4 linked regions of the Arabidopsis thaliana genome follow. The protein of the gene in region 2 interacts with the protein of the main gene of each other region in a pairwise test. Each region holds a gene or a part of one and is shown on either strand. Other genes may lie near its edges. The genes, in order: MYB14, NAC095, MYB32 and HAT22.

The links.
Region 1: the proteins of NAC095 (region 2) and MYB14 interact in a two-hybrid assay, tested with the Arabidopsis thaliana proteins (one large-scale study listed by BioGRID).
Region 3: the proteins of NAC095 (region 2) and MYB32 interact in a two-hybrid assay, tested with the Arabidopsis thaliana proteins (one large-scale study listed by BioGRID).
Region 4: the proteins of NAC095 (region 2) and HAT22 interact in a two-hybrid assay, tested with the Arabidopsis thaliana proteins (one large-scale study listed by BioGRID).

Annotation. Positions count from the first base shown.
Region 1 is NC_003071.7:13,283,824-13,292,033, forward strand, and holds MYB14 (myb domain protein 14), read right to left. Parts: upstream 4,558-8,210; 5' UTR 4,353-4,557; coding exon 4,220-4,352; intron 4,120-4,219; coding exon 3,990-4,119; intron 3,470-3,989; coding exon 2,983-3,469; 3' UTR 2,858-2,982; downstream 1-2,857. Other genes in the region: SYCO ARATH (Cysteinyl-tRNA synthetase, class Ia family protein), read right to left, coding at 1-10, 96-266, 350-511, 1,285-1,348, 1,450-1,793; RUS2 (root UVB sensitive protein (Protein of unknown function, DUF647)), read right to left, coding at 7,635-8,060, 8,151-8,210.
Region 2 is NC_003076.8:16,441,924-16,449,346, reverse strand, and holds NAC095 (NAC domain containing protein 95), read right to left. Parts: upstream 3,693-7,423; 5' UTR 3,584-3,692; coding exon 3,415-3,583; intron 3,280-3,414; coding exon 2,810-3,279; 3' UTR 2,674-2,809; downstream 1-2,673. Other genes in the region: AT5G41100 (hydroxyproline-rich glycoprotein family protein), read right to left, coding at 1-73, 164-374, 461-489, 643-711, 813-874, 951-1,022, 1,372-1,444, 1,802-1,918; GDPD2 (PLC-like phosphodiesterases superfamily protein), read right to left, coding at 5,512-5,746, 5,866-6,062, 6,171-6,266, 6,499-6,780, 6,870-6,929, 7,152-7,336, 7,420-7,423.
Region 3 is NC_003075.7:16,658,638-16,666,830, forward strand, and holds MYB32 (myb domain protein 32), read right to left. Parts: upstream 3,913-8,193; 5' UTR 3,653-3,912; coding exon 3,390-3,652; intron 3,295-3,389; coding exon 2,733-3,294; 3' UTR 2,464-2,732; downstream 1-2,463. Other genes in the region: SLP2 (subtilisin-like serine protease 2), read right to left, coding at 1-586; APX3 (ascorbate peroxidase 3), read right to left, coding at 6,370-6,564, 6,947-7,049, 7,194-7,273, 7,357-7,439, 7,553-7,601, 7,690-7,755.
Region 4 is NC_003075.7:17,764,160-17,772,254, forward strand, and holds HAT22 (Homeobox-leucine zipper protein family), read left to right. Parts: upstream 1-3,882; 5' UTR 3,883-4,081; coding exon 4,082-4,531; intron 4,532-4,626; coding exon 4,627-4,706; intron 4,707-4,806; coding exon 4,807-5,113; 3' UTR 5,114-5,517; downstream 5,518-8,095.

The sequences.
Region 1 (8,210 bases), on a different chromosome or scaffold from region 2:
CTTTTGCAGCCTGCCCAAAAATTCAGAAGTCTTTTAAGACTTAAATGAGTAAACAAGTATTCAATGTAGGGCTAAAACGTAACTAAAAAGCGTACTTTCCACAGAGCAAAATCTGCGGGATGTTTCTTCCTCGTGTCAACTGCGACTCTCTCACCTGCACGGTTATCTTCTAATTTTCGCCCAGACAATTTTCCATATGTTGGAAATTTGTCGACTGAGAAGTAAATGTCTCCATCAACTTTGTAGGCATAGCCATTATCAAGAATCTGAATTGGAAAACATAGCATATGAGAATATATCTTAGATTTTTAGCAACATGAGGAGCAAAGTGAAGTAAATGTGGTCAAACCTGCTTGATCAGGTCGATGATTTGAGGTATATGATCTGAAACTCGTGGTTGGACAGACGGATCTAAACATTGAAGCTGTTCCATATCTCGATTAAATTCCTCACAGAAACGTCTGCTCAAACTGATTGGATCTTCCTCTAATTCTTTCGCTCTGGCAATAATCTACAAAATTTGAAATTTCATGAGTCAGTTGCATATGTAGCTAAAGAATCTAGCCATATACAACTTCAATAAGAAAAAGTGAAAGTTCCCCTAGAAAATATAGTCAGAGAGAGGCTGAAATAAAGAAAACATTTGTGAAATCTTGTAGCACAATACGGAGGAAATCTAGTAAAGGACATTACTAATTAGTTCTATTCTTCTAGCTAATTAGTCTGTGTTAAGGTTAATCAAAGTTGGTGACACAAACGTAGGCAGATGTAAAAGAGCAGACACATACATAAAGGATAAAACTAAGTGAACTTCTCCCTAACAAAGAGAAAATACTGACTATTCTCCATTTTGGCATTTCATAGTACAACATTTTCACTAGCCTCAACCACCAATATAATAACTTTAGCAGTCTAAACGTTCAAATCTTGCAACTTTGATGGCACTATGATCCATCCTTTTACATGCCTCTCACAAGTAAATGAGATGAAATAACAGTATTGGAGACACTAGAAATAAGATCAATCAGCTTCAACTTCTCTACTGCCCAATATGTAGCCGCCAAGAAAATAAATAACTTAAACGCGGTCCAGGAATGCCATAACAGACACTGGCTACTCATCCTATTAACCTAACGGTACCACAAAACTCAATCTTAAGAGGTTCTCACTAAAAAACTTTCCTGAACGAACTCGAGAAGCTGTCTCTAAACTTCTAAACAGAGCTTAAGTTGTATAAGACCCCTGAATCTCTGAGCTAACCACCAAGAAGCAGAGTTAGCTCACCTTGTCATCCACATCCGTGAAATTTCGAACGTAAGACACTTCATATCCTAGATGCTTAAGGTACCTGCCTAATTCCCAATCAAATTCAAAAGAACAAAATCATAAAAAAATCATAACTTTCCATAAACCCAAGAAGTTTTAAAGCTTATTTCTCCAAGTCGATACCTCAAGAGTACATCGAAAGTGACGTAGACTCGTGCGTGTCCAATGTGACTGAGATCGTAAGCAGTGACACCGCAAACGTACATTCCAACTTTACCTTCGACCTTAGGCTTAAACAGCTCCTTCTTCCGGCTCATCGTGTTGTGCAGCCACAGCTCCTTCCCACCGGAAATTGGTGCTCCACCGTCCGTTAATGATGACAGAGTCGTGAAACAGCGACGTAGTTGAGTTTCTTTTCCGGGTCTGAGGGGAAATTGGATTCTGAATTGAGACTTGGGAAGAGAAGAGAAGCGTATTGGAGTGAAGGGTCTACATGATTTGAAGAGATTAAGGACAGAAGAAGCCATTGGTGTGGAACGATAAGCTCCTTCCGAAGAAGATGATGAAATCTCGGATAGGAAAAAGCGGCGAGTGATTAGCTAAAACCTCTGAACTAATTACGGTTTGTGTAAACCGGTTTTATTTTCCGGTTCGGTTTAATCAAGACTTGTTAGAGGAGCACCATCTTGGTTGTTGACGAAATTTTTTAAAATGTCTAGGTTTTTCAAATAATATATGGGATTGTCTATTAGCCACTAATGGAATATTGAAGGAAAAAAGAATGTTTTAGTGATGATGATATTGGAATTAAAATTAAAATTTAAAGAACCATATTTCGATGTGATATTACGTATGCGTAATCGTTAACTATAATCGTTTAATCTACTCACGTTTTTGTCATTTTGATTTTCTTAAATTTTTAAGTACGACCGGAATGGTGTTATTGATGTTTTCGTAGGAACCATCCATAGGTTTTAATTAAAGGTCTACAAAATATAGTTTAAAAGTCCTTAATATTTTGTAAATAATATCTAGTTGTCTACTACAGGACCTTGGACCTTATATGTTGAAGTTTTGCAAAACATTGATCAACTAGAACAAAAAAAATTATCACAAAAAGTTTAGGGCAAAACCCTAGTGTAGATCAACCAGCTAAAACAAAGTTAAGGAGTGAGGTTGGCTCGGCGATAGTATGTTCTCTAATAAGTTCTTGGGTTTATAATTAGGACAAAAGGAACCATTGTTATATGTTCAAAACGTTTAACAATGGTTCCTTTTGTCCTGATTATAAACCAGGATGAAGTTATTAGTCTTTACACACTTAGGAGTTCATTTTAGATTGAAAACCACAATTCAAGTCGACCCATTTCTAATTTCTTTTTACTTCAGTTAACATTTATTTCTTTAGAAACCAAACTAACCGAAATGGCCCTCTTAAAAGTTTTATTTCTTTCATATTATATACATGTTTGAATCTGGGTGGTAACATGGTAAAGTGATGTTACATGTTCAAACTAACCATTGCTACATGTCTTGATGTTATCTTAAATGATGTTTATTATCAAAATGCATGTAAGATATTCATATTTACATGCAATCTCAAAAGTCTACAAACATAGACAGAGAGGAAGAAAAAGAAAAGGAATTTATTCATTTGGATTACAAAAAGACTTTCAAAGTCTTAACGACAAAAACAACACAAAATCAAAATCAAAATTAAAACTCGGGTATGTCGGAAAATTCCTCAATTCTACGATTACTAGTGAAAACATCAAACCAAAACTCCATGTCATCATTATACAACTTAGAATTACTATAGCTACATTTTTTACTATTTCTATCGATCAATCCTTCCCAATCCTCTATCTTCTTCTCATTCTTATTCGAATTATCTACCGATATGACGTCCGACCAAAAACTATCATCTATCAAGGCAGAAATATCCTCGTACGACATAATATCGTCCTTGTTATCATTTGAAATATCAAATGTTGTAATACTATTAGAAAATTGTTGTAAAGAGGCTGTGTCGACTATCACAGATCCTTTGTCTTCATTTGTGGTCTCGTTAATTCCGTTAACGTCTTTGGTGTCTCCGCCATTGTTTAGATTTTTGCTGAGTCTTTTCTTCAAATGAGTGTGCCAAACATTTTTTATTTCATTGTCGGTTCGTCCCGGCAATTTTGCAGCAATCGCAGACCATCTAAATTAATTAAGAAACAAACAAAAAACAAAACACTTTTTAAAAAAGCGCCCCACGTATAATAGTATTGTATGGATTTCATCAATTTCTTACTTTATATTGCTTTTTAGTTGCTCAAAAACAGAAGAAAACAACAAAAGAAAAGCTTATACATGCCATATGTTTTGCATTGATCAAAGTGCATATCCTTTTTTAATAGTAATATAGAAGATCTTGTTTCTGTTTTTTTTTTAAAGTATATTTGAAAACAAATTAATGAAGTCTTTGGTTTGGTTTGAGACAGAGGAAATCACGGACAGGAATCTCCTTACCACCCCCATGGTGTTAAAATATTTTGCAAATTGTTACATAAATAATCATTTATTAACTTAGACTGGGTAATACTCACTTCTCAGAGAGTCAGTGTAATGCAAAGTGGAAAAAGGAAAAAGGAAGTTGACATTACAAAAAAAAAAAGAAACGTCGACCCTAAAACTGTTTGATTTCTCAATCACTCTTTAGGGGAAAAAAGAAGACAAACCTGTTGCCTAAGCTTTCATGCAGATTGATAATAGTTTGTTCTTCTTGAGGAGTGAAATTGCCACGTTTAATGTCTGGTCTAAGATAATTGATCCAACGAAGTCTGCAACTTTTCCCACATCTAAGTAAACCTAAACAAATTGCACAAAAACACCAACCAAAATTGCTTCATTTTCAAGAATCATTAATAGATAATCAATATACAAAGTAAAATGTAAAAAGGAAACTCACCTGCGTGTTTTGGGAGAGCTCGCCAATTAGAATGACCATAAAGATGAATATAATTGATCAAGATTTGATCTTCTTCAGGAGTCCATGGTCCTCTCTTCACCCCCATTTTCTCACAACATGGTGCTCTTCCCATTCTTTTTTCCGTTGCCCCCTCAAGAAAAAAAACACTCAGAAAAAGAAAAACAAAATGGTCTTCAATTGAGTAAAATGATTAGAAGGACAAGTGTTGAATGGGTATGAAGTTTATGAGAGCTAAAGAAGCCAAATGCTTGAAGGAAGTATGCGATGTCGACGTTTAGTGTGTTATTATATATACACACATATTATTATTATATAATCACAATGCAACCGTGGGACAACTCCAAGTTGAAATTTTCTCATACTAATTTTGATCTACACAGTCCAAAGTTTTTAACCTTTTTCCTTTGAACTTTTTTTTTAGATTCATTAAAAAAAAAACTTTTTTCTAATGTATTTTAATCTGTTTTGATGAGGTCGACGAATACCACTGGAGCCTCGATGTCCTGTAACTCCTGTTGTGTAAAGATTGCCTATAATTCAGGTGCCATTCAGTAGTAAAATATTTAACGGTTAATCAGTTCGACTCAGGCCAAAAGGATTCTCTTTATATATCACCAGATAGGGTCCAAAACTTTCTATTTCGGGATATTTGCAATATTTTTGAGATGCAACACGCAACCAGGGAAACGAGTGTGTGATGAGAAGCAAAACGCAAACATCACTCTACTTATGCAATTATTGCCCTGAATTATCATGTTCTAGGGACGCTAGTTTCACTAAGCATATGAGTCACATGATTCATATGAAAGATCGACATATGGTCGACCTGTGTACCCACTTCAAAAGTTAATGACCCGATATCTAAATCTATTATTGAAAACCACTGTTATACAAGCTATTATTGAAAACCACTGGTATACAAGCCATGATCCGTTTACTTGATTGGTTATGACAAATCTTAATTACTATTAAATATATCTATCATATATGTTTCATATTCTTTTTGGAACAACTTTATTGGATAAGTTGGTTTTGATATGTAGTCTTTTTTTTTTTTTTTTTTTTTTGGACGACTGGTTTTGATATGTAGTCTAAATGTTTAATATGGTGTGTTTGTATTTCACAAGCTTGCTCCATTCTAGTTTACCCGGACTCCCGCTCGGAGCCTCGGATTACGGAGTTATATAAAAAAGATATTAAGCAAAAAATGCTCCAATATAAATAATAAGAAATTAGGAAATAAAATAATATAAAACATTATGAGAGGAAAGAAAGGTTCAAATTATATATGCATAAAAATGTCAAAGAAAGAGGCTCATAGTGCTCAATTCCGATCAAATCATGGGCCAAAAATAATCAAACTTTTAATCTCAATCAAGCTTGTTGGGTGACCTATAAGTCAATAAGAAACATTAAAAGTTTCATATTTTTCTATGCGCATATTAAACACTTACACTATTTTCTTTCTTAATGTATATAATACCGTTACGATTAATTAAAAAATAGGTATGTAGAGCCAAAACAATTGTGGTGTCAAGAGGGAAAATCATAGACATCGAAGTAGGTACGGTACGTACGTAAAGGGGTTCCTCTTTTCTAATATGATTCAGAGAATCAGAGGTCATATTGTTAACAAAAAATTTTTATGAAATGATTTATTAGCTAGAATATGATTTGATGACTCCACTTTTTGGTCATTGTTTTCCCGCTTTCTTTTAATGTTAAATATGACTTGATACTACATCTGAATTGTTTTGGTCATATGAATCTTTAATTTCGAAAGAGTATTTATAATTTTACTTTGTAAATACAAATTTAAATTTATTAAATTACCGGTGAGTTAGTAATTAAAATAAAATAGACAACCAGATTATTTTGAAACACGTCAATTATTCATAGTGTCATACCGTAAAAAAAAAACAGAAATGTCTTTCTTACGGTATATGTCATTACGTAAGATAATTACAACCATGAGATCGTAAAATGTATGAAATTGTCGTCAATTGATATTTAGTGATATGGTTCTTGGCTTCTTTCAATTGCACACCTTCACTCACCATTACAACATTTACTTTTGAGTTAAACTATTCGTTTGTCTCTGTCAAAAGCAACTTTTGTATACTGTTTCAAATTAAACGTATTTAGACCAAGATTACAACGTTTTAAAAAGAATAGACTAAAACAAAACGAAGATCGTCGATATCTAATTCCATCATTACCAAGATCTTGCCCTTTTTCACAATTTTTTTTTTCTCTTTCCGTTTTCTTTTTGGGGTTTCATTTTCTAATACAACGAGGGTTATCTTCTCTTACAACACTACTCCAATATAATTGTGGAGTTCCCATGTTTTTAATGCAAGTGTTTTGTTTGATAATTGATAAATTCAAATGGATCGTGACCTAACGAAATCTAGATATTTGTGGGTCCATTCAACTACTAACTTTGTCGCTTCTTTTTGTAATTTTCCAAGGGTCGGCTGATTTGCATTATTGATTATACATGCATGTCAAAAGTAAAGAAGCCTTAAACATTTCACTAGTTAATATTTAAAAAGGTGTTACTTATCTTCTTCAATCAGATCCAACTAGCTATCCCTAAAATAAAATGTCTCAACTAAATTTTGAAATCTGTATAAGAATAACAAAGTAAACATTTTCATCACTTAACAAATTGCTAAATAATCATGAAAGGTTGAAATGTTAATTTTAATACATTAATGACATTTTTATTTTCTGTAGTTTTTTTTATTTATTAACAACATGCATAATGATAATTTGAAATTAAGTTTGGTCTAAGTCTAACCAAACCTGAAACACAACTTAACCAACAAAATCTTTTACCTCCTCTCATGCTCTATCAGAATCTTACTAGTTATGTGTCCAGTAGGCAGTAGCATTGGCTAACCCTCGTATAAGGTAGTTCTGATAATTGCATTTATCAAATATTATATGTAACAACATGCAACAAAAGTGATATATTTGGGACATTTTCACTGATCAAAATATCCCAAAATGAAGACTAAGGAAGGGTCCAGGTCTAAGGAAAAATAGAGCCCGTACACAAGATTTGACCAAGAGAACTATTTTAACTTTAAATAAATATATATATATATATATATCCATAAAAAGCATTAATCAGATTCCATTTTGATTGATATATATGATAAAATATGTAAACTTACAATGGCAAAACAAAAGTACAAACGAGGACAAGAACCGTACCTTCAAACTTTTGTTTCACCTAACAATCTCACTCTAATCTAATCCATCTAAGTCTTCAAAGTACTAGATTGTGGATTCATGATCTGGATAAAGACTTCTTACGCCTACAAATTCGTGTTTATACTTGAAACAATAAAAAATTACAATAGCAAAATTACTCGAAACTCGGGAGCTACCAAGCAAATCTTGTCCCCGTGCCATCGAGAAATCTATCAGTATACCATCCTTTAGCTTGCACTTGAGATAAAAATGGATTGAAGACATCGTTCATTTTGTCATACGCGTCTTGCAATATAATGTCATCAGGGTCATTATATATCTTTGTCATTGACTTGACATATGCTGCAACTAACCACCCTCGCAATGCATCTTCACCGGTTGCATCGTGCTCTAAGACCATATCGGTCCATGACTTTCCATGACTCAATAGAAACTTCTCTTCTACAAACACTTGTTTTAGTCTTTGTACCTCAGAAGGCTTCACAGCTTTATGGAGAGCCCTTCCCACTTTTACATTTCCTGCGTCTTGGATTGGTCTCTCGGGGAACATTAGGTCTTCTTGGAATCTTAAATCAGGAGGGCTTGGGACTTTACCAGTCTGAGAAGATACAACAACACCTCTTATGTAATTAAAAGAAATCAACAAGATGGTTTACAGAAAAATTGAACAAAAGATGATGCTAATTACCTTGAGAAAATTAGCCACAATCAAAGCGGTTCGCTGTGGATTCAGTGTGTTGATTGGTAC
Region 2 (7,423 bases):
GTCTATCTGCAGCAATTCTGACGTGTTGCTCTACTGCCTCAAGCGATTTCAGACCAGCAAAGAACATATGCATCTATGCAAAAATAAGAAAGTATAAGCGACATTGATTGAGAAATTGCAGGAAGGTTTCTTACATAGAATAGTAATTTTATTCAGAAGGTACCTGAGCAGTGTGGTGGCGGGCTGCTTGTGTGAGGAGACTTCGAGCTTGCCCTTCCTTGAGAGATTTCAATCGGAAAATGCACAGAGTCGCCTCATCTTGTAGCTCATCGCGAGCAGTCTCTAGCTGACGGCGAATAAGTCTCTCCCCTTTAGTGCCTTTAACTTGTACCTTGTCTTTCACATGCTCCATTAGCATGTGCTTAACAACGTCTCTGTAAGTAAGAGTCAGAGGTTAAGGCAAGATTTTATCAAATCAAAACCGAGAGAATAAAAAACTACATTGCAGAAAGTCACTGACCTCTTTTCTTCACATTGTTGCTTCATATCCTGAGAGGAAAAGAAAAGGAAATACGACAAAATCAGCGGTCTTTATTAAGGTTGTGCTTTTTTGTTCACTTTAGCTTTAAATCTTGCTCAAACCGTGAACTTTTCCGGCTTTTAAATAATCTCTGACTGTAAAAGACCAAAGCTAGGGCATACCTCAACAGTTCTAAGGTCACTGAGAAGTGACTCTGAAGGTCGTGTAATGGTCTTGAATATTTGAGAACGCTGAAGGAGAAAAAAAAGAATGAAACAAGAACTACCTCAGTTTTGTTCATAATTATACATATTGCTTCATGAAAAGTACAAAGTTGCAACATACAACTTACATAAGTGTCGACGAGTTTCTTAAGCTCAAACTGAACTTTACCTAACATTAGAAGAATTCCACCTGCAGAAGAAACAATGTTACAGCATGGAAACAGGACAAACAAACGTCCATGATAGCTAAATACCCAAAATCTTACCACTTTCTTGATCATTATGAGGCGCGATTTGCTCCAAGCATGAGCCCATTTCCCCCAATGATTCAGAGAACTCTGATTATACCGAACAAAAGAAAAAAAAAAAATGATGAGGTCTGACAATATACTGATGTTCTTATATGAATCAACAAAGGTTTCTCACAAGGTTAAGAAAGTACTTAATGGGAAATTCTAGAGACACTAAAAATGAAGATTTCGCAAAATGATAATATTATCGAAGACCTCCGCTAGAAACAATATGAATGAAAGCTAATTCAATCCAATAAAGCTCGGGTATAGCAAGCCCCATCTTATATGAAGCAACCGTACACTTTACAGTCACAATGTTTGACAACATCAACCTTCCAAATTCATACATGAAGCTATAGAAGTGGAGATTCATAAAGGTTGAATGCTTATTTACCATATGCGCTATTAGCCATAGCAGCAGCTACTTCGAGTAATCTATCATAACCCTCTCTCATATCTTGCATATCCTGAAAACAATTGAGTAATAAGCTTAGGTCATAAAATGTATCTTCCAGTTCTAGTTCAACCAATCAACAACTAGCATCAGTTACAATATCAATTTCTTACCATAACTGATATAAATACCAATTCCAAATTTCTCCATAAGATAAGTCTATAAAAGTAGAAATTAATGAACAAACTTCTATAACTGTAAAAGTCCTGAAATTTCCAATTAGGGTGTGATTTTTGATCGGAAATTTTTATCCACAAAAACTCATCCAAGTTACAATCTTGTGATCAATAACTCACGATTTTGAAAAGAAAAAAAAAACTAAATCTCAGAGAATCATGAGAGAAGATCAGTGAAAAGAGGGAAAATTTACCTTGGCGGCTCGAGCAAGACCTTCAATTTGTGCAGTGGGAAAAAGCTCTCCTATATCAATCGCATCGGCTTTGGGTAATGCGAATCTTCTTAACCTTCCAAACGAAGCTTTCATCATATCTCCAGATAGAACTAAACAAAACCCTAATCACGAAGAAATTCCTCTAAGATTAATCGGCGCTTCGATGGTTTGCGAGTCGAAAACAGAGAGACGAAAGAGTGAGATATTTTGTCAAGTATCGTGGGATGTGTTCAACGACATTGAAGGAAGAAGAAGAAGCTAAAAAGTTTGAAGCTTTTGTTTTTCTGGTCAAAGAAACAGATCGAAGAAACAGCAGAAAGACGGAGGAGGAGAAAATGAGATAATCTCACGCGTGTAAGATGAACGGTTCAGATGAGAGGTTTGACACGTGGTGAAATCTCGAAAAGAGATGTTGAGAGGGAAAAAGTCAAAAAGTCAAAGATTTATGACAAAGGCGGAAAAAAGGTTTTTAGGTGTTTGACCGGAAGTTTTTAAGCTGGTCAAACATCTCTTTCTCTTTTTCATTAAGGCTTTTGAACAATTTGATTTTTGGACATATCAATATATCATATTATATAACATATATCATCTATCTTCTTCTATATATTATGACCCTCCTAACAATTATTGGAATAGAGAGATCGATTGATTATTACTACGACTCATATCAATAGTTTTCTTTAGGTGTAGGAGCGCAATTTAGCAAGGTAGGCGGACAATTGCTAACATGAGCCATTAGATGAGGGATGATCTCTTTGTTCTGGAACTTTTGTATCAGCGAGCAAGTGAGTCTCTCGAGCCACATAACCTAATCGATATATTGTGGAAAGAAAAAGAAAAAAAACCTAACCGATATATTGAAGTGAAATAAGCATCTTTAAAACAATAGGTATGCAACTAGAGGTAATAAAGATTTGGACGTTGACAGGTTTTGAGAGAATCTACAATCCACCAACACTAACAGTAAAACACTATATCATGAAGAAGCTAAGGTGTAGCAGGAGGTGGAGGAAGAACAGTTCCATCTTTCTCTTTAACACTATCCAAACTCTCTGCAGGCTTATCAACACTTTCATCTTCTTCTTCTTCTTCGGATTCGGATTCAGATTCGACTATATGCAAATTACCAAATTCAGGTTTAACCTTCTCGTAAAAGATATGACACAGAGTCCAATCAGTATCCACAACTGTCAATGGGAGGCTGATTTCATCCAAGAACCAATTGCATTGTGGAGGTTCTTCTTCATCGCCGTTCTTGTTATCAGATTCTTCTTCTTCTTCGTTCTCAATGAAAGTAAACGAATGCTTGATACCGACTAATTCGCCGCCATTCTTCTTTGGATCTAACACATCAGTTTTTTCTCCCGTTGGTATCCAGAGGTTATAAGATTTCGTTCTAGTAACTTGATTCTTGGGTTTCTTGCAGTAGAAGTACCAATGCTCTTCGCTTCCATAGCCTGAAAGAACAGAGCAAAAACAAGTTCACAAAATAAAGCTTGTCACGCAAGAAAGAAGTAGCCAAAGTTAAATCAAGAAACTCAAAAACTCTATCAAATCTGTTTTGTCAAAAGGATCGGAGAAAGTATTCTCACCAGGCAAGTCGCGAGGATGTGTTGAGAAGATATCATTACATTCGTCGGGCACAGTAAGAGCTTTCATGGGAAGTCCTAAAGCTTTCTTGATCAAAAAGTAAACAGCCAACTCCAAATCTGAAGGACGAAACCTCATACCTACTGGCAAAGCTCTGTATGTTGGGCCCATTATTCTCAGAACAAAAGAAGAGAAAAAGAAAACAGAAAGAGATGAAGAAAAAGAGTTCGTCGTCCAATGAATAAGCTCCAAGCTGCCTATATATTAGTAAGTTGTTACGAAGAAGTAGGGATTTTGTGACTGAGATAAACGCGAGCGAATCAAGTATTTATATAGCAACCTCTGTTTCCTAATCCTAATAGGACTAGGAAAACCTTTTTAGAAAAGGAATTGAATAGATAATATCACGCCACGCATGCATGAGCTTTAGTTAGTAAATAAGGGGAAAGTTACATTTTAATGTTATGATATTTGACTTTTTTTTTTACATCAATTAATGGAATATTTTTTTTCATATCGTGATTTTGTTATAATTATCATTGATTACAATGATACTGAAAAAAATGGAAGATAACATCTCGAAAATAAGTAATTAAACATATTTGGCAAAAACGAAAAGTACTTTTGATATTTAGGGTTTATCAAAAAAAAAAAAGTACTTCCTTTGATATATAATAGAAACTTATAGACCGAAATCCATATTTTTTTCAGTTGTCCTAAATTATTTCTAATTATTTTTTATAATTATATTTACATTATTTTGCTCAAAGCTTCCATATTATAAATAAACTGAACTTTGTGATTAGATAATTTTGAATTTCTATTCAAAGTAATATCAGAATTATAGTGAGCAAATTAAAATTTGAGTGTACTATAGCTATATCAATTAATACTTGGTTTTTGTTTTGGACAAAAACAATCAATACTTGATATAAACCGTATAAAGAAAATTGGATTCCAGTGTTGAGAGGTAGATATAATTGTAGTAGAAAACGTTTAAATCAAAGCATGTATGGAAACAAAACTCATATAAGAACAGTTACTTGAATAGATCAGAAATTTTAATTTAGAGACGTGAATCAGTTTCTAATTTTAGATTATTATATCAAAGAGAATTTATGTTGTGGCTATTGGAATTGGATTCTTGAATTTGATACTGAAGAGAAAAATAAAAACGAATGTCTTTTGTTTTCTTCATAGTTAAGGCAGAAGAGGGAGAGAGCATGAGTTGTAGTTTGATTGGAACTTCAAGCATCCTTTTAAAGGTTGGAACAAAGACAAATACTTCAAAATTCTATTGGGAATTAAGAATAATCTTGACTCAAAATATATTTCAACAAAACATATGTTAAGGCTAATTCTTTAGTCGCTAATCAATCCGCGACACGTAAATAGTGAATAATATCGACAAAACACCGTCTTCGAACTATCAATATGCAGCGGACTTTAGCACTCGTGCGGTCGTGCCTACAGACTCGTTTGTTTTGTGGTTTTTACTTGCAAACTTTCAAAAATTGAAATATGTGAAACTAATATCTTATGTCCATACTTAAGACTTCTGAAAATACATATCTCACTCCATTATAAAGCTTGACCTCTCACAAGAGATAAGCTGTATGTTTGAAGTCAATCTTCTTGCGGATAAGAAAAGCTTTACTAAGAAAAACACCTTCTCGCTTACAAACTACGTATCCCGTCATATCACTCTGACTCTATACCGAAAGCACATTACAATTGGTCACCTAGTGATATAACTAAGCTTATATAAAAGATAATCCATAACACAACCTTAAAACCATTTTTTTGCCCTAAAATGAGAGTTTCAAAGTCTAGATCCATCTTGGGCTTAGCTTGTTTTGGGTGACATATCTTAAAAGCTTATATAAAAGATAATCACGTATATATTTTCTAAATTTTTCGATTAATTAAAAAATAGCTGATTTTCTTTTGAGAAAGTTAATCCTTGTAAAAAGAAATAAATTTATAATTATTTACAATTCCAACTATTGGGTAATACACCCAGAATAATAATTAAATCAATAAGAAAATCAAACCCTAAAAAGAAACTTGGGATAAAAGAAAACGAAAAAACAGAGATATCAATGTTGTATCAACTGAGAGAGAAGCTTGAGAAGAAAAGAAATCTCCTTCTGTGAAAACTCAGGTCTTGTAATGGCAACATCATCATCCTTGGAAGGTGATGGTAATGGTGATGATGATGGTGGTGGTCTTATCATCATGCGTGTCGTGGACTCTATAATCTCCTCAACAAAATCTACAATCACTCCATCGATCCCCATCACATATTGCATGTACACTGCCTCTCCGACATTGCTGCAACACAATATTTGAAATAAGATTAAAATCTGATTAATCAGTGATCGGATCCAACAGCAATAAGGAAACAAACTTAAGGTCTTTAGACTTTATTAAGAAAAGTGAAGAAGGTTTACTTGAGTTTGCCGTATGTGAGGAGAGAGAGGTTAGATTCTTTGATCTTGCTAATGGCTGCTGGGTTCCTGAACACTCCTTTTACCTCTGAAACAATACCTTGAAGACCTCCTTCCAAGCAAACTTGAATGGCTTCTTCGAGCGAGTTTCTTCTCTCGTCATTGTGAATCTCGTTTCCCGCATCAGTCAGAAAGAAAACCTGGGTTCAGTTCATATGACATTGTTAAATCTTAAGTGATTTCTCCATGAAGAAGTCAAGAAGTTTTTTTTGGTATTTATCAAAGAAAAGAGCGAGAATGGAACATACAGGGTAAGTGCTCTGCAGTTCCCTAACAAGCTTAGCTGCATCTGGTTGGAAACTTGAGAAGATTACTGGTCTGTCTTTAGCATAATTAGAGACCACCTGTAGTTTTGTCACAGAATGGAAAAAACAGAAAATAATAAGTTAACAAGTCTCAATCAATCTAGATCCAACTTGGACCAGCAGTTTTAGGTCAACAGCATTGATACAAAAAGGTCTCAAGAGATCAAATTAATTGTGAGCACTTTTAACAAATGGTTCTATTGGACCCTAATAAATATTCATACTCCAACAAGAAAAAGAAGGAAGAATACGGAACTAGTATTGAGCATACCTGTAGTACTGATCTCAGGATATGGACAAGAAACTCTCGTTCATAGACGGTCTGATCATCAAATTTCAACTCGATATTGAACCCAAGAGTTTGTTCAACTTGTTCAAAAGCTTCTTGCAACGTACAAAGAGAATCATCCAAATCAACGTCCCATTTCAAAACCTTCCCTTCTTTAGATTTCCTCATCAGTGTCTTCCCTATTTTCTCAGTTTCCTTCTGAGGTCCATAAAGGAGAAACTCAGACAGACTCAGATCCGTCACTCTACTCTCATTAACAATACCCTGAACCATAACACACAAACACCAGATCCATGAAGACAAGATCCAGAAATATAAAACCAAGATCTATGAAGAAAGCAATGTAGACTTACATTTTCTTCAGAGTAGATGAAATCATCATGGAAAATGACAGGGCAATCATCTTTTGTCACCTACAAAAGAAAAACCACACAAAGCTTGGAATGCTTCTCTATGTGCCATCTCTCTCTCTTTCTTCAAATCTTCATGTTCTTATTTTTCATTTCAATTTCTAAGAATCTATAAATAGATATCTAAATCAGAATCTTCTTCCACACACAAAAACATAAACATAAAACCCCAATCCTCTGTCTCATTCAAATCCTAAAGTTGATTACATAGATCGGAGTACCAACCTGAACATCGAACTCAATGAAATCAATCGGATACTTAGCGGCGGAATTGAATGAAAGAATCGAGTTTTCTTTAACACCTCTCGCTCTCCGATCAGACGATTGCAACACATTCATACCGATTCCTCTATGTCCAATCACCGAAAACCCCGGTAACCTAAACGACGTCGGTTTGCTCAACTCTAAACCTGTAATCAAAGACAAGATCATCAGAAACGAAAACAGCTCAATAGCCGACGAAACAGAGAGAGAGAGACAGAGAGAGAAATACCTTC
Region 3 (8,193 bases), on a different chromosome or scaffold from region 2:
ACTCAACGGTTTTGTTGATTCCTCCGATTACAGCGGCTTGTTGTCCCTTAGCGAAGAATCTTGCTCCGATAATTTTACGGTTACAGTTCCGAGGACTGAATCTGGCTCCGGATTCGCAAACGCCTCTCCACCTTTTTGGAATTGGACCGAGGTTAAGATCTGAGAAACTCCTCCGCTCCGGCCAAATTCCGGTGTCAAAAACGCCAATGATTACGTCTGATCCGTAATCAGATTCTGACCATAGTCCTTTTTGGTTTTGTAAACCAAGAAATTGAGGAGAACGTGTGGTGTGAAGCTCTCGACGTCGGTCTTCGAAAACAGCAAGAACTGCTGGGTGGTTACGGAGATTATCTGCTTCATCTGGAGTAACAACGGCGGAGAAACCATGGAAGACTGTGTGGTAAACATGGACGATTCGAGATTCTTCGGCGAACTCGGTGCTATACCAATGGTAGTGCGTCGGGAAAATAGAAGGCATAGATCCACCATCGATACGGAAAATGAAAGTCTTCGCGGCCTGAGAAGCTGCGAAAGAGATAAACGGAAAAGAGAGGAAGAGAAGAAGAACGATGGTGGAGGAAGCCATTGAAGGAGTGGAGCGAGTGAAGTGAGTGGGGGGAGTTTTACCGACATGACATTGGTGCTCTCATAATTATAAAGGAAAATATCATTCTTTACTTCTTTTTTTCATTTTTGATTAATAACTTTTATAATTGTTAGTTTACTCAGATAAATCATCAACTTTGGATATTTCTTCTGCGAAAATATTCCTAGTACTATGTCGCTTGTATGATTCTGGGCAATAATATAGTTGTCTGATTAACACAAGTGAGAGAAAACAATTTTGATAAATTTCATTTGTTTGTAAGATAACGGAAATTTCATTAGCGAATGAGATAGGTGGTCTTTGTGGTCGTGGACAGTGATATTAATGAAACGACAGCGTTTTACGGAGATACTGCAAGAATGAGTCATCGCTTTGTAGGATTCAATGTATTTTATTCATTTTTATACAATTTTGGTTAGAGAAAAGTAAACATCGGAACTGCGGAAGTTACCTTTCATCACCAGGAAAAGTGTGATCGTTCACATGCAAGTGAGATCATCATAACTATATAATACGATCCATTCATAACGGTCGATTAGTTTCTCTTAAAACAATCAACACCCTCTAATCGTAAACTCATCACATCCTCTGTTTACTATTAACATGTTGATTTTGTCAACACAATTACTAGTAATCAAAAACTAATCATATAGTAGATTAGTAGGCTTTTTAAGTATTAGTAGGCTTTTTGTTTATCTCTTTTATGGTGGAGGAGCGGAGAGTTGAGCAGAGAATCTGAGTCACTGCAATTGGACAATAAAAGCGACGGAACAGAGACTTTTAGTGATTCTCAATATTACTATATTCGTCCATTATATGAGCTTACAACGGCTATAATTTCAACTTCTGATGAAAATACTATTTTATGTTTCTCAGAGATTAGGATAATATAGGTTTTACACAGATGGGCATGCCACCAACCCAGTCGCATATCCCAATGTTGAAAAGCCCATTTGATGCATTGGGCTACTCATACTAGGCCATTTATTTTGATAGGCTGAATTTATTGTTTTGGACTTCAACCAAGTTTTGTATATCATGCAGAAGTCAACTTGTATGATTTGTTTTATTCGTTTTGAGTTCTAGCTTACTTACATCATTCTGATTTGCGGTTCAAATCTATTTGAATTAATTTGATAGTCAGTAAAAGCTTACAGGTAGTTTGTGTCGATTTATGGTGTGTTTACTGTTTAGTAGGCGTCACCAAAATTTAAGTACAAACTATACATTGAAAGCTAATTCGGACTGTTTACAGAATTCCTCTCCATATTTTGTTGCTCATATAGGTTATCCTAATCTTGAGTTTACATTTTGCACTTTATTATATATGAAAATATCCATCAAGTAGGTCAAAGCAATATAACTCATATATCTATTTTGATATCGTTCAATCTTTGATATATGTCTCAATATACATTTCTTGAAATTTCGTATCTTTAACACTATCACATGTAGAAGAACCTAATTATGCCCACTAGCCTGATACTAAACTAAACTCCAAAGTTTTAGGTTGATGTCCGTTGTTTTACATAAACAAACATTTGGAAAAAACCAAACCACACTAGTTAAGTTCTTATATGTATATATTTGTATAGTTTTGGAAATAAGGTGAGTGACTTTTGTTTAATATAGTGAACAACACATTAATGTGATAAAGACATTTTACCAACACAGTGAATGCTTTGAATTAGTACTAAAAATAATCAAACGAAATATGCCAAAAGGTTGCAATGAATAGAAAACATGTACACTTTCAATCGTTCTCACGCTTCTCATCCTTACACAGCTTATCCACTTCATTGATATGTCCAATCTCTTGGGAATAACCATCGACATACATTTGTCAAACATTGGTTGGATTATCGAGTAAAATTCTAGAAATATACCAAGGATCGAATTTGAATGCATATGTCTTGTCAGCAAAGCATTACACCCATGCGACACTTACAAATGGCGAACATTTTCGCATCTTTTTAGTAGATTATCAAATATGACGACAGATCCTAACAACTATGATATGAATAAAATTACTAGTTATTAGAAAAGTTGAGAACCATGAACGAGTCTGTTAATAGCTTTTATATCACAATTCACAGCTATAAATTGATTAATATAGTATTTCATTTCATTTCATTTCCAAAGTGCTAAAATCCAAAACCCTAGTGTTGTTTAGACCCAAGAAGTCATAACCAATGCTACTACTAATGTCGGTTGAAGAATAACTGCTGCTACTACTGTCCTCTGTTTGACATTTCACATTATTACAGCTACACTCCTTGCCGTTCCCGAATCCAAAACGGCACGCACTGCACCTATACTTCACTCTCCCAAACCTTAGGTTCCTCTCATCATGGAGCTTGTCTTGCCATGGTGGACTGATCCTAAGCTCAAGATTCAAGTCCAGACATCTTTCTTCAACAACTGAGTACTCAACTCTCTTTTGAATTCTCTCGTCCCCGAAATTTGCTATTTTCTCCAGCTGAGGACCAAAAGAGAGAATCTTGACAAGAGGGTCCTCTGTTTTACTAGAATCAGACGAATCTTGAGAAGTTTTGGTCTCGTTGATAGGTCGATGAGTCGCCGGATCAATCCCTTTTCTTAATAGCTTCCTCTTAACATGTGTGTTCCAGTAATTCTTAATCTCGTTATCTGTTCTTCCTGGTAATCTCGTCGCAATAAGAGACCACCTGATAGAAGAAAAAAAAAACAGAGTTTAAAAAACAGAGCTTTTTAACATAACAGAGGATAGTAAAAAAAACAGAGGAGTTGTTTTGTGACTCACTTGTTACCGAGAAGGCTATGTAGTTTGATGATGAGATCATCTTCTTCGAGGGTGAAGTTACCCCTCTTGAGATCAGGTCGGAGATAGTTAATCCATCGGAGACGACAGCTTTTTCCGCAACGTTGAAGACCGGCGGATCTAGGAAGAGAACGCCAACAACCTTCACCGTGAGCTTTGATGTAAGAGATGAGCTTATCGTCTTCTTCCTTAGTCCAAGCTCCTTTGTTTGTGTGGTCTTTCTCACAGCAAGGAGACCTTCCCATCTTTCTTCTTCTGATTCTTGTGATGAAGAAATTAGGGCTTTATGGAGAGACGGTTTGAGAAAGAGAGAGAGAGAGAGAGGTTGGAAGAGGAAGGTGAAGCCTAATTTGTTTCTAGAAGAGAGTTGGTAAGACACGTTTGAAGGAGTGGCTAGTGGGCTCCGTTCTCTTTTTTCTTTTTAATCTAAGATTAAATTGTGTTTTTGTTTGTTTGTATCAAAACTAGAAACTGCAACATTCACACGATCGTGTTCGCAGTTTCAATGAGAAAACGCTATATGGCTTTTATGGTTTTTTCAAACCTGAGTCTAGTTGTCTACTTATTTACTTATTAGCCTAGTTGTAGGTGTGAAACCATAATTATGAATGGCGACATGCGTTTTGTTGGTGATTTTAGCAATAGAAACTGTGATCAATATTTCACATTTCCTAAAGAAACTTTTCAAACTTTACCAAATTTAATCATATTATATTTAAGTAGTTAGATAGGTGAAAATTTGGTTCATCTTGTTTTTTTCTATATTTTAGTTTCATTAATAACGTAAGAAAAAAAAAATCATCGAGTTTGTTCGATATGATTTTATATCGCAAATAATAAATTTGTTTGAGCTAGGGTTGTAAAAACAAAAGTAGAGGATATATTTACATTAAAGTAAATAGTTATAAGGATTTTGTTTTTGGACAAAGTTGGATGGTTTCGTACTGCAACGAATTTAATTCAAATTATGGACATTTATGTTACAATGGAAAATAGTATATATTTGCCATAGTGAGTTTGGTAAGGAGGTTGTAAAGGGCATCCAAATGACCAAATTAAGTATATTCAAATCAGTATAAAGATAAATTCGTTAGAATTTCTAAAGAAAAAAGGAGAACATGTTAGTTTGATAATTTTTTTGGTTAATCAAAAGTTTGGAGGATTAATCTAGAAGACACAAACAAGGTTGGTTTTGAGGGAAAGTTAATTTCATTTTTGGGTACGGTTTGGTGTAGATTTGGCTGCAATATGGGGAGTGGTTCGTGACCTTCCACTTTATCCTACTTCCTTTAAGAAGTGTTAAAACATATCTCAACAAATCGTTTCGTATATATAAGAACTATTCAGATAATGTATCAACCGTTTAAATTTTAATATCCATTTTCTCTTCACCAAAGTAGTGAGATATAGCATTATATAAGTAAAACCTACATCCTATACTAATATTTAGCTACGCGCTATATGATAATTACTTGTGAGTAATTAACACAAAATCAGGAGTTCCTACAATCGGTGAAACCTCACGTGGAGTTTGTAATGTAATGAAAATGGAGAGTGCATTTCTACCTGCTTTCTCCTTCTTCCATTAATGATTTGCCCTAACACGTGACCTTTTTACTTTCTCAACTACCATTTTACCAATCTCTTAATTAATTCCTTATCTTCTTTTCCATCAATTCAAGGTTTCTTATTTATCGTAACGACCAACTAATTCTTAGAAAAAAATCATAGTTTCTTGAGAAACGCTTTTCGTAAGCTAGCTTATCATTTGAATTGATATCTATGAATTTATCCGACGTATCTATGTTCTTGACAAGTTACAAAGACCATGGCCTACAAAATATTCAAGAATTTTGCTGTCATCACGAGCTAATTAAGCTAATATCAGTATATATGAAAATACGACGACTCTAAGAAAAACATTCGTGAAATGCTTTTGTAAATAGGTAAGGGGATATTTTGAAATAAGTATCGATAAAAACATATCGAATAATGATTGTGGTTTTTATTCTTGTTTGGAGTTCTTTATTTGGAAAAGGGAAAAAGCTTTATTGGTGAAAGTTTGTTTGATACCTGAAAGACAATCTTAAAAGAGTTTGGTAGATTTCATGGTGTACATTTACTCTGAACTCCTACCGACATATTTGTATATTTAATAACGAAGAAAATAGAAATGGGATAGAATTGACATGTGATTTGTTATCTACACACACACCAAACAAATCTTAAAAAAATAGGTACATTATACGACTTTTAGAATGTATACAAAGTGCAACATGTAACATATATTTCCTAATTATTAAAAATGTATGGTTTATTTATTTAAACTACTTACAAGTTACAAAACCTTCGTTCTTGCCAAATTTAGAAGACATGCGTTTCTTTCTTTTAGTTTCTTATATAAGTTATTGTTAGGTGATTTCACATTCTGTTAAAATACAGTACACTTCTTTTACGTAACAACAATTCTTTTATGTCAACTTGAATAAAGCTATTTGCTACTTTGCGTCCATTACATGTCATCCCGAGCCTATATTTAGGTAACTGGCAACCAACATCATATATTATCTTCTTTAATGAAAATACGAAAGCAAAAAAAAATTTAATTTTAATTTCTTAGTAGAAGTTTCCTACCTAACTAAACCTACCACTACCAGGTTAGGTCAAGTTTCAGGTTATGTCCCCACTTTGGTAGATATCGACCGATCTTTGTTTCTTTCTTTTTTCTTTTTCTTTGGTACTAATTAATAAGTGAAACGAACATTGCAATGAACAAATATCGCAAAAATGAATCACGGACCCAAAATATTGACTTTTTAACTTTTTTACTACTAAACAGTAGAATCGTGGATTCAAAGAGTTTAGAATCTTGTAGCAGCAAAATAGATTCGATAGACGATTAATAGTTTCTTTAATACCCAAATAAGAGCATCGTTGCTTCGTGTTTTACTTCCTATTTCGTTTACTTCATCCTCTTCCGGATCTCGTAAAAGTAACCAAATGCCACAACCGCAGCAGCAACTGCAACCCCGAACGCACTCTGTGCCAGAATCGTGCTGTCTGCAACTGCTTTGCCTGCTGAGGAGTTTGGGTTGAAACCAAGCTCAGAGAGTTTCTTGTGCGATTCCGCGTAGTCTCTGAAGAATGCATCTTCATCCTGCCACCACAAACTGAACTTGTCAACACATAACAACACTTTCTTATCTTATTGAAACTTAATTAAGCAAGGAAATCATAAAGAACCATAGGAATTTCTGTTTACGGTTCTAACAAAAAGCTAATATTACAGTTCTCACTGATAGTAGTAAGAGTGTTCATTTTATCATTTTGCAACATCAGCAACTATAAAGGCGATAAGGATCCGTGGGGTTCTCTAGAACAAAACCCTAGATAATTTGGTTTGTGATTCAGTGTGTGTGCTTGTGGATTCAGTGAAAATGTGAAACCAATAAAGGAAATCGAGTTATGTTCCAATGGTTATTATAGCAACGCAAGAAACAAATGGCAAAGAGGCAGAGAAGATCTCCAGTATATTATACCTTTGCATAAAGCTCAACAAGACGACGGAACTCCGGGTCTTCCAATAAGGTCTTGTCAGTTGGAAGTTTCAACAAGCCCTCTGATTCTCCTTTCAGCAGTTCCCTGGTACCAAAACAGTAAATAATCATGGATAACCGATCATGTAAAAAAGTATCTGTTTGCTGCTTTTATTTCTTGGAGACACAAACAGAAAAGATTAAAAAAATGCACAAAGAAAATCTCTGAGGATAAAGAAATGAAAATTACACGAAGTAGGAGTTGTCAAACTTCAGCGGCTCTTGGGTCCATGGTCCATCAAAGCCTGACCTCTCCGGGTGAGCCCTTCCCTAAACACCCAATGTGGTCATAAGCACAACAAGCATATTTGTTCAAAAACAACGGAAGTTAAGTAAGTGACCAATGAATTTACCAGAGTATGACCCCCTGAGAGTGCCACAATATCCTTATCAGATAGTCCCATGCGGTAGAAGACATCTCTGAGATGTTGGAAACCTACAGAGATATAAACAATGTGAATTCATAGAAAAAATCTTCCAATTCCAAAACAAGATTATCAGTAGAAAACATGAAAAGTTTGTTATAATTGATACAAGAATTTAGTGTACCTTGTTTGGCATCAGGAAGTCTTCCTTCCTTGGGGCAGACATTTGAATCCTATCAAGAAGAAACATACAGTAATTATGTTTGCTTTAGTGTTAAACTGATAAGCTGTTATAATGTCTCAAGAGATGAGAAAGTATACCTTTCTCCCGGGAACGAACACGATGTCAGGTCCACCAGTAACCTCAACTGCTACCACACCAGCAAGCTGAAACAAAACACTTAAAAGTAAATAATTCATACCCAAAACTTAATTGCCATTAAACTGGTACACTTCTATTGGGAATTCATAAATAAAGCCTCGACCTTGTAAGACCAAATATAAAATGGAGAAACGGCAATACAAACAGTCGTAGAGACAGGTTATAGGTACAGACGACAGACATGTGACTTAGGATGGAAACAGATTGACATTACATTACAGTTTCCTTCTTGGTCGTTTGAATTCATTCAGTGTATATTTTACTTGAATTTAGCTATTACTGCAAGAGATAAAAGTTCTAGTTGAACAACATAGTCAATCTATGATTTTTGTAAACCAAATCACAATCAGTAACATCTCCTGAAACAAATTACAACTGAAACCATATTTACACAGCTGCTCAACTATCAACTAAGTCTCCTAAACAACAAGCTCAAACCTGGG
Region 4 (8,095 bases), on a different chromosome or scaffold from region 2:
ACAAAACATAACATAGTAATTGACCAAATTAGGTTAAAAAAAGTAATAGACTAAAGTAAACCAGATCAAACCATAACTAAGTTAATTTTTAATTTGCAGCATGCTTAACTTTTTCGGAATTCTCCTTAGCTTAGTATATTTTATAAAAGTAACCAAACAAAATAATAATAATAATAATACGGCCGTAATGTGGGGGCTGAATCGGAATTAGATACTCTCTATCATACCAAATCATTGAAGGGACCTACATGTCTGGAGTTGACACGTGTCGGACCTAACAGACAATGATACTGTTTTCAAGTTTCGTAATTAGCTCTCTCTCTCTCTCTTTTGTGTCGTGTGGATAAGTCTGTGAGAGATCGCATAATGGATGGTGCCTAAGTGTTGATGACATGAGAACCACCACTTTAATTTCTCTCTTTTTGTTATCTATTTTTCTTATAATACCTTTTCTTATGAATATATTTGTTCACCGCGCCAATTAAACGACTTTATCATTGTTGCCAACAAACGTATTTAAGTTTTTTATTTATTTGTTATTGTTGTGGTTGTGGATATTTTGTAGTTATCGTTTGGGTTTGATTAGTCTTAAACCTAATTTTTTAATCGTCTTCCAATCATCTAAACCATCTAAAAAGGTCTTGCGAGTTGGGGTCACACCGTTATTTCATTATTATTTTGTATGTATTAATACTCTGTTTTATAATACGACATCTTTTTGCCTTTTGTCTTTATTCTTCCCCTCTTTTTCACACATTTTTAATTGGTTTTAATTTTTCCCCTACCTTTTCAAGAAGTCAATATTTATCGATATTCCTGTCATTATTTAAAATCGTGTTATTAATGACTTATTGCCGACATATTAAAAAAAAAACTCTTCATAATATATACTCCATGTGTATTAGTGTATGTATAACATTTCATCTATCATTATGCATATTAGCAAACATGTAAAATAATAAGTATATGTGACAGTTTACAAACATCATTTGTCTGATTAAATCATTAAAAGATAACAAAATTGTTCTGACCATTTCGTAAAAAAAAAATTAAGTAGTATACAATAGAAACAAATAATTTAAGAAGTCGTTTATTCAGAAATGATTCTGGTAATCGCACGAAGCTTATTATTCATCATCGTTATCTTTCATACTATAAGATAATAATTAAGAAGATCCTAGTAAAATTTGGTCTTTGAATCTGACCTCTTTTCTACGTTCTATATTTTGTCATGTAATGCGATTATTTTGATATGATCATGCGTCATAGAACACACGCTCCATAAGACAAAATGTGATAACATATTAAATTCGATAACAATAAATAAGACAGAAACAAAACTAATCATGACGACGTCTAGTTACAGGAAGATCGCCTAAATGACTAAATTAAATAAATTATCGGGTCAATACAATTACTAATTTGTCTTCTCGTTCTAACTTTGAAATATTTAGATATTGGGTCTTTGTTGAAAAAATATGATTTAATCATGTCATGATTTTTCTAATCTTGACACCTCGAGTTTTAAATACAACACTAGGACTATGTAATTATTAAATAATACATGTAGTTAATAAATACATGTGTCGTCGTGTTCATGAGTTTGCCTCACCTTTCCTCTTAGGAGACTGGTCTGGCCGTCGGGGACCAATGCTCTGAGATACAAAATTATTTTTATACTAATAATTTATAGTATAATAATACGTATTCTTTGTATGCAATTCAAATTGTTTTCATGCATCCCTCTCTTTAAATGAATTGCAGCTTGTCCAAATGGTTAAAAGTTCTCGTTAGTTGGAATCAAATATCTATATCTTCAACATTCTCAGAACTATATATATTCTAAAGTTTCAATAATTTTTGTTCCAAACAACAAAATTGACTCTTTAAATAAAGTCAGGAAGATTTTGGTAATGGCGATTGCAATCTTTTTAGTCAAAAGACACCAGCAAAATGATCAAAAGGCGAATTTAAATAACTTCATTTGTAACTTCTGACGCCCCGACTATTCTAGCTGTTACAAGTGACCAAAATGGCTAACAATGTACACGTTAAACTTTTGATTTTCACACTACCATATTTTATAAAAATCATGATGTTCTAATTGATTATATAAATAAAATGCTTTACATATGCATGTAGTTCACATTTTTTTTTTTTGGTTTGCAATTGTTTCTTAAATAAATAAATAAAAAACCTAATTTAAAACAAATCAGAAGAAAAAAAAATTGCAAACCAAAGTAATCCAAATAAGCTAGTATTTTAATCGGATTGTGAGTACTTTCTCCACTTCTCCTTCGAGGCCACGCTTATATATTAATTTGTACAATATGGGTAACCTAACTTGGTTGGAAAATAGAAAGTGCCAAAAAAAACAAAATATGTATGGCTAAAACCAATAAAACGTCCCACGTCGACTTTCAAGTTAAGTCCCTCAACAATATTATTTCTGTTTGACGAATCACATTCCACCACCACCATGATTACCAATCTTCTTCTCCCACCCGTTTCTAATTCAGGCCATTCACAATATTTGATACAGAATAATGAAACTTAATGTTGAACTATTCCGCCATTTTACTGTTTCAATTAATTAAATATTTATCTAAACGAGGTGCTGTTAGTAAAAAAAGTTCCAATATTTTTCTAGCTAATTCTATAAAAAGACACTTTGTACTGTAAGAGCAGAGACGATAAAAACAGAAAATGTAACGATAATTTGTTACGTCCTGTAATGAATTGTTTAAATTCGAGTAATGATATTTATGCATTTTCTACATATATGCTACTAGTAATCAATAAAAGCATAGTATTATCAAAACTAGAATGCGGTGGAAATAAATAGATAGAAATCATTGGATAAATAAGTCCCAACACAATCTGGCCAGATCAAGAGAACCGAACCTAAAACAAGAAAGTGGAGATCACAATCCGAAACCCTAAATAATAATACAAGAAAGGGGAATATAAAAAGAAATTAGAAGAAATTAATTAAAAACCCAATGTGTAGTGTGAGGAAGTTGAAGATTGGTAGGCAAGCTGACATGTTACCCATATCTACCTTCTTCAAGCAAAGCATGGAGTGGGAGACAATTCATGTGGTCTCTTATTTAATTAAAGTTGCCTCTTAATTACTCTCTATTGACAACTTATTATGATACTCCTACTTAGATAAGTTAAATGTATCATTTGATTATAATCTAATTTATTTTAAGGAAGTCTTCAGTTCTGTTAGTTATATTTAACGCTTCAGTGGTATATTACAAGAATATCTGTACTCGAGTAAATATTTTAAAATATCAATCACAGAACATTGGATCTTTGAATGTGGGCATGGGAGGATATAGAATCGTTTCGTCATGTGCTAGTAATTGTATTGTTGACTTGAATTGAATTTGTGGATATATATCCCGATTAACAAATTGAAACAAACATGTAAAGCAATGTATAAATGGTAAAAGATAGAAGTAAGTTTATCAGGAAATGCAAACCATCAATTCGGATATAGGAGTTTAAAAGTCTAATCGAAAGTTTTGGAGAGACTAAAATCTATTACACCCAAAAAAAAATTGCGTTGAACCGTTTTTTTTTTTTTTTTGGGTTTTTAAAACTAATTTAATTTTCATACCACGTCATAAAAATTATATTCTCAGAGTATAAATTTGTATACTATGAATAAACATACTGAAAATTTATGAAGTGGGAATAATAGTTGCAAGTGGGGTGCGCATTTGGTCAACCTTTGTAAGTAAGAAAATACAAAGGAGAGAGAATTGTGCTATCATAATTTTCCACATTCTTTTTTTCGAAAATTCCATATAAAAAAGTAAGCAAAATAAATACATTCCTTGATTAATTCTAATTATTAGCCACCCACCCACCCACCCATCAAAAATTAAAAATAAAAATTAAAAAGACAAAATAAAAACTCTCTTCCCCTTCTTAAGAAGAAGCCATCTTGGTTTCATTTCGTCCCATAATCTTCCAAACTTCACCAGAAGAAATTCTTAACAAACAATTTTCTTCATAATATTAATTCTCAAGATCTTAAAGATTATATTAATACGAAGAGAAAATTCAAATGGGTCTTGATGATTCATGCAACACAGGTCTTGTTCTTGGTTTAGGCCTCTCACCAACGCCTAATAATTACAATCATGCCATCAAGAAATCTTCCTCCACTGTGGACCATCGTTTCATCAGGCTCGATCCGTCGTTGACTCTAAGCCTATCCGGTGAGAGCTACAAGATCAAGACTGGTGCCGGCGCCGGCGACCAAATTTGCCGGCAGACCTCGTCCCACAGCGGCATCTCATCTTTCTCGAGCGGAAGGGTAAAGAGAGAAAGAGAAATCTCCGGCGGCGATGGAGAAGAAGAGGCGGAGGAGACGACGGAGAGAGTGGTGTGTTCGAGAGTGAGTGATGATCATGACGATGAAGAAGGTGTTAGTGCTCGTAAAAAGCTTAGACTCACTAAACAACAATCTGCTCTTCTCGAAGATAACTTCAAACTTCATAGCACCCTTAATCCCGTATGATATAGTTAATTATTTCCTTAATTAAACTAATCAGTCTCTTCTTATTTACGTTAATCATATCGTTAATTATTTTTTCTATGAATTTACAGAAGCAAAAACAAGCTCTTGCGAGACAGCTGAATCTAAGGCCTAGACAAGTTGAAGTGTGGTTCCAAAACAGGAGAGCTAGGTAAATATAATTGATTACTTTTGTGAATTTTAATATCATACTTTTCTTTCTTTATTTTGGTTCATAAAAATATTTTTTAATTAAATTTTAATTTGAACAGAACAAAACTAAAGCAAACAGAAGTGGATTGTGAGTTTTTGAAGAAATGTTGCGAGACTTTAACGGATGAGAATAGAAGGCTTCAAAAAGAGCTTCAAGACCTTAAGGCTTTAAAATTGTCTCAACCGTTTTACATGCACATGCCGGCGGCGACTTTGACTATGTGCCCTTCTTGTGAGAGACTCGGCGGTGGTGGTGTCGGAGGAGATACGACGGCGGTTGATGAAGAAACGGCGAAAGGAGCTTTCTCCATCGTCACAAAGCCTCGTTTCTATAACCCTTTCACTAATCCTTCTGCAGCATGTTAGTTACTTATTAGTTATTTAATTTCTTTTTGTTGGTTTTTTTTTTGTTTCTTAAATCAAATTAGGAATTAGTTAGAAGATAAATCCCAGGGAAAAAATATTACGTTGAAATTGGGGGGAAATGGGGTATAGTCTTTATAGATAAGACTCTTCAACGATTCCACTTTATTTTTCGGTGGGATTGTTGGTTGATGAAGAAAAAAAAATAGTTTGTAATTACAGGTTTAAATATGTAGAGAAAAAATGACGAATATGTATTATCTTGTTTTTTTTTCCTTCGAATATGTATTACGGTAATATAAATTTGCTTGTAAAAATAATAAATATATTATTTGATAAATTTTGTACAAGTTTATATCACGTCTGACGACGTATCCTTAACAAATGATTGTTCATTCATGTGAGTATAATATTGATTTATACTGTTAAATGATATTTAAATATGGGTTCTAATTTGAGTTCACACTTTACAAACATAAACAACCAAACACTCTTCCGTATTTTAAAGATTCTTAGATTGATTCTTAACAGGAGGATTCGTGTATATATTTGTAAAGTATCCACTACGATTTTATAATTTCAGAGTTTCTTTAATTAGCCAAGTCTCTATTATTCTTTACTAATCGTTCATCTTAATGAGACACTGGTGCCAACTTGGTTTTGATTTCAACCGTCAAACCCAAAAATGGAAATAAAATTGATTGAAATAATTTGCCACCGATAAATAAAACACTTATAACTAGTATAACTAAATAGATGGAGAATCCTAAAACTTCACGAAGGTAAAGGTATGAAAAAAATAAAAGATGAGACGGTAAGCCAAACCAATCTATATCAATACATCAAAATATATTTATTCAAAATTCACATTTTATTAGTGTTTTTTTTCTGACTCATCAGTCATATGACATATATACATTTATTTGTTTTGGCTCCAGATATAATAATTATATTTTTTATTATCCAAAAGAAAAGAAAAGAAAAAAACTGAAAAATCATTTGATGGGTGTGAATGATTTTAAGGGAGAGAGATAAAGGGTGTGGGGCTAAGAGGTTAGCTCACGTGTATTGATACATCTCCTTAAAACCTTTTAAATTTATCCAACCAATAATTATAATAAAGTTATAGTAAAAACAATTTAACAAAAAAAATTATAATAAATCTTTAAACTATATAACACTGACAAATTAGAAGAACCAATACGCACCATGCAAAAACGTGTTCACATATGTAGTCAAATATTATCCATAATAACAACAATAATAAAAAAAAAAATATCATCATCTTATTACAATGCTTAATTGCAAAGAAAAGACCTCTATTTAATAAAGATACGTTTGCGAAAAAATCTATAAATGGAAATAAAATTTTAAAAATAAAATAATAATAAAAGTTCTTGAAGATTTGAAGCAGTGAGATGCTCCATCTTTAAGAGGTAAGGTGGGACATGCTTCACGTGATTTTCTCTTCATTTTTCTTCTCACGACCATGTTATAGATGTGTGGGATTAATTATATGACTCTTCTTCATGTTATACCCATATTTGCTATACACGTATATTCATGTTTTTTAATGAATACATGACAACGAGACGTATTAGTTAACATATTTATGAAAATGACAGCGAGAAATATTCATAAGTATTTTACCAAAAAAAATATTCATAAGTAATTACGTGATTCACGCAAAAAAAAAAAAAAAAAAATTTACGTGATTCACGAACACAAGTATAATTCATGAATCTTCCAGTTTCAACACGTACATGCACAAGATATGAGTAAAATTTGATTTTGATTTTTATTTTATTTTTAAAATTAAGTTTTTGTTACTTTTTTACCTGAACCGTTTAATTTTATAATTAATTGTCGTATGTAGTAGTACATCTAATCAATAAAAGCTGATATTGATCGCGACTAACATTTAATAAAATCATTGATTTTCTAGGTTGTGTTAAAGGACGTCGAGGTCTCGAAGATCTCGTTGAGATTTGATCTTCACGAGGCACGAGTAATATGTTTGCATGTTTTTATCTAAAGTAATAATATGTATGTGAATTAGGGTGTTAAAAGTAATTTGGTTCGAGAACATATAATAAAAATAGAAATTTAAGCCTTTATAAAACAAAAGGAAGATAAATTTTGATATAGAATGTAATGCATGCGTGATGATGGGGGATGGATGAGATGACGAGAGAGTCCACAAGAAAATCATAAGATCGGTGACCCTGAAATTATGGTGGTGGACCATTTAATGATGAGATGACTTTCCGGAGAAATCGGTGACTTTCTCAAAATCTCCATTCTAATTTCACGGAATCATTCCCTTGTAGTGTCTCCTTTTCTCATTTTTCTCTCTTTCTATTTTTTTCGTTCAAATTTGTTTATATTATAAGATCCAAATATAGTTTTATCCCATAATGCTAAATCAGGACTTAAGGGTGTGACTGATATAGTATTAGAGTAAATGAGTAGAAAATATATAAAGAGTAAACAAATAGAAAGAGAAATTTATTTTTCTTCAATAATATTTATCTCAACGTTAAGAAAAAAAAAAGAAAAAAAAATATTTTTTAATTTTCATCATGATTTATATATGACCAGTACAAATTGAACAGAAATGAGGATAAAAATATCTTCTTTTTTTCACCATCTAGAAATCAAAATGCAATATAGAAAACTAAATGTAAACGGAAATAATCAAGATATAATCCAGTAAATGAATCCCTCTCCCTTCCTCGCCTGGATATCATAATTATATATAAAAAAAAAACTAAAGACAGTGAAAGCTATATAATATGTATATGCTATATCTCTACTCTTTTTTTTCATGTCTTCTTTAAGAAGATTTTCATAAACATTTGGGAGTATACATAAATATTTTCAATCAATTTTCTTGCTTATCGAGGTTTATTTATTTGCCTTCAGTTTTGCTGTCGATTCAATTGTGTGAGGTAACTTTTTTTGATATCCCAAAAAATATTCTAA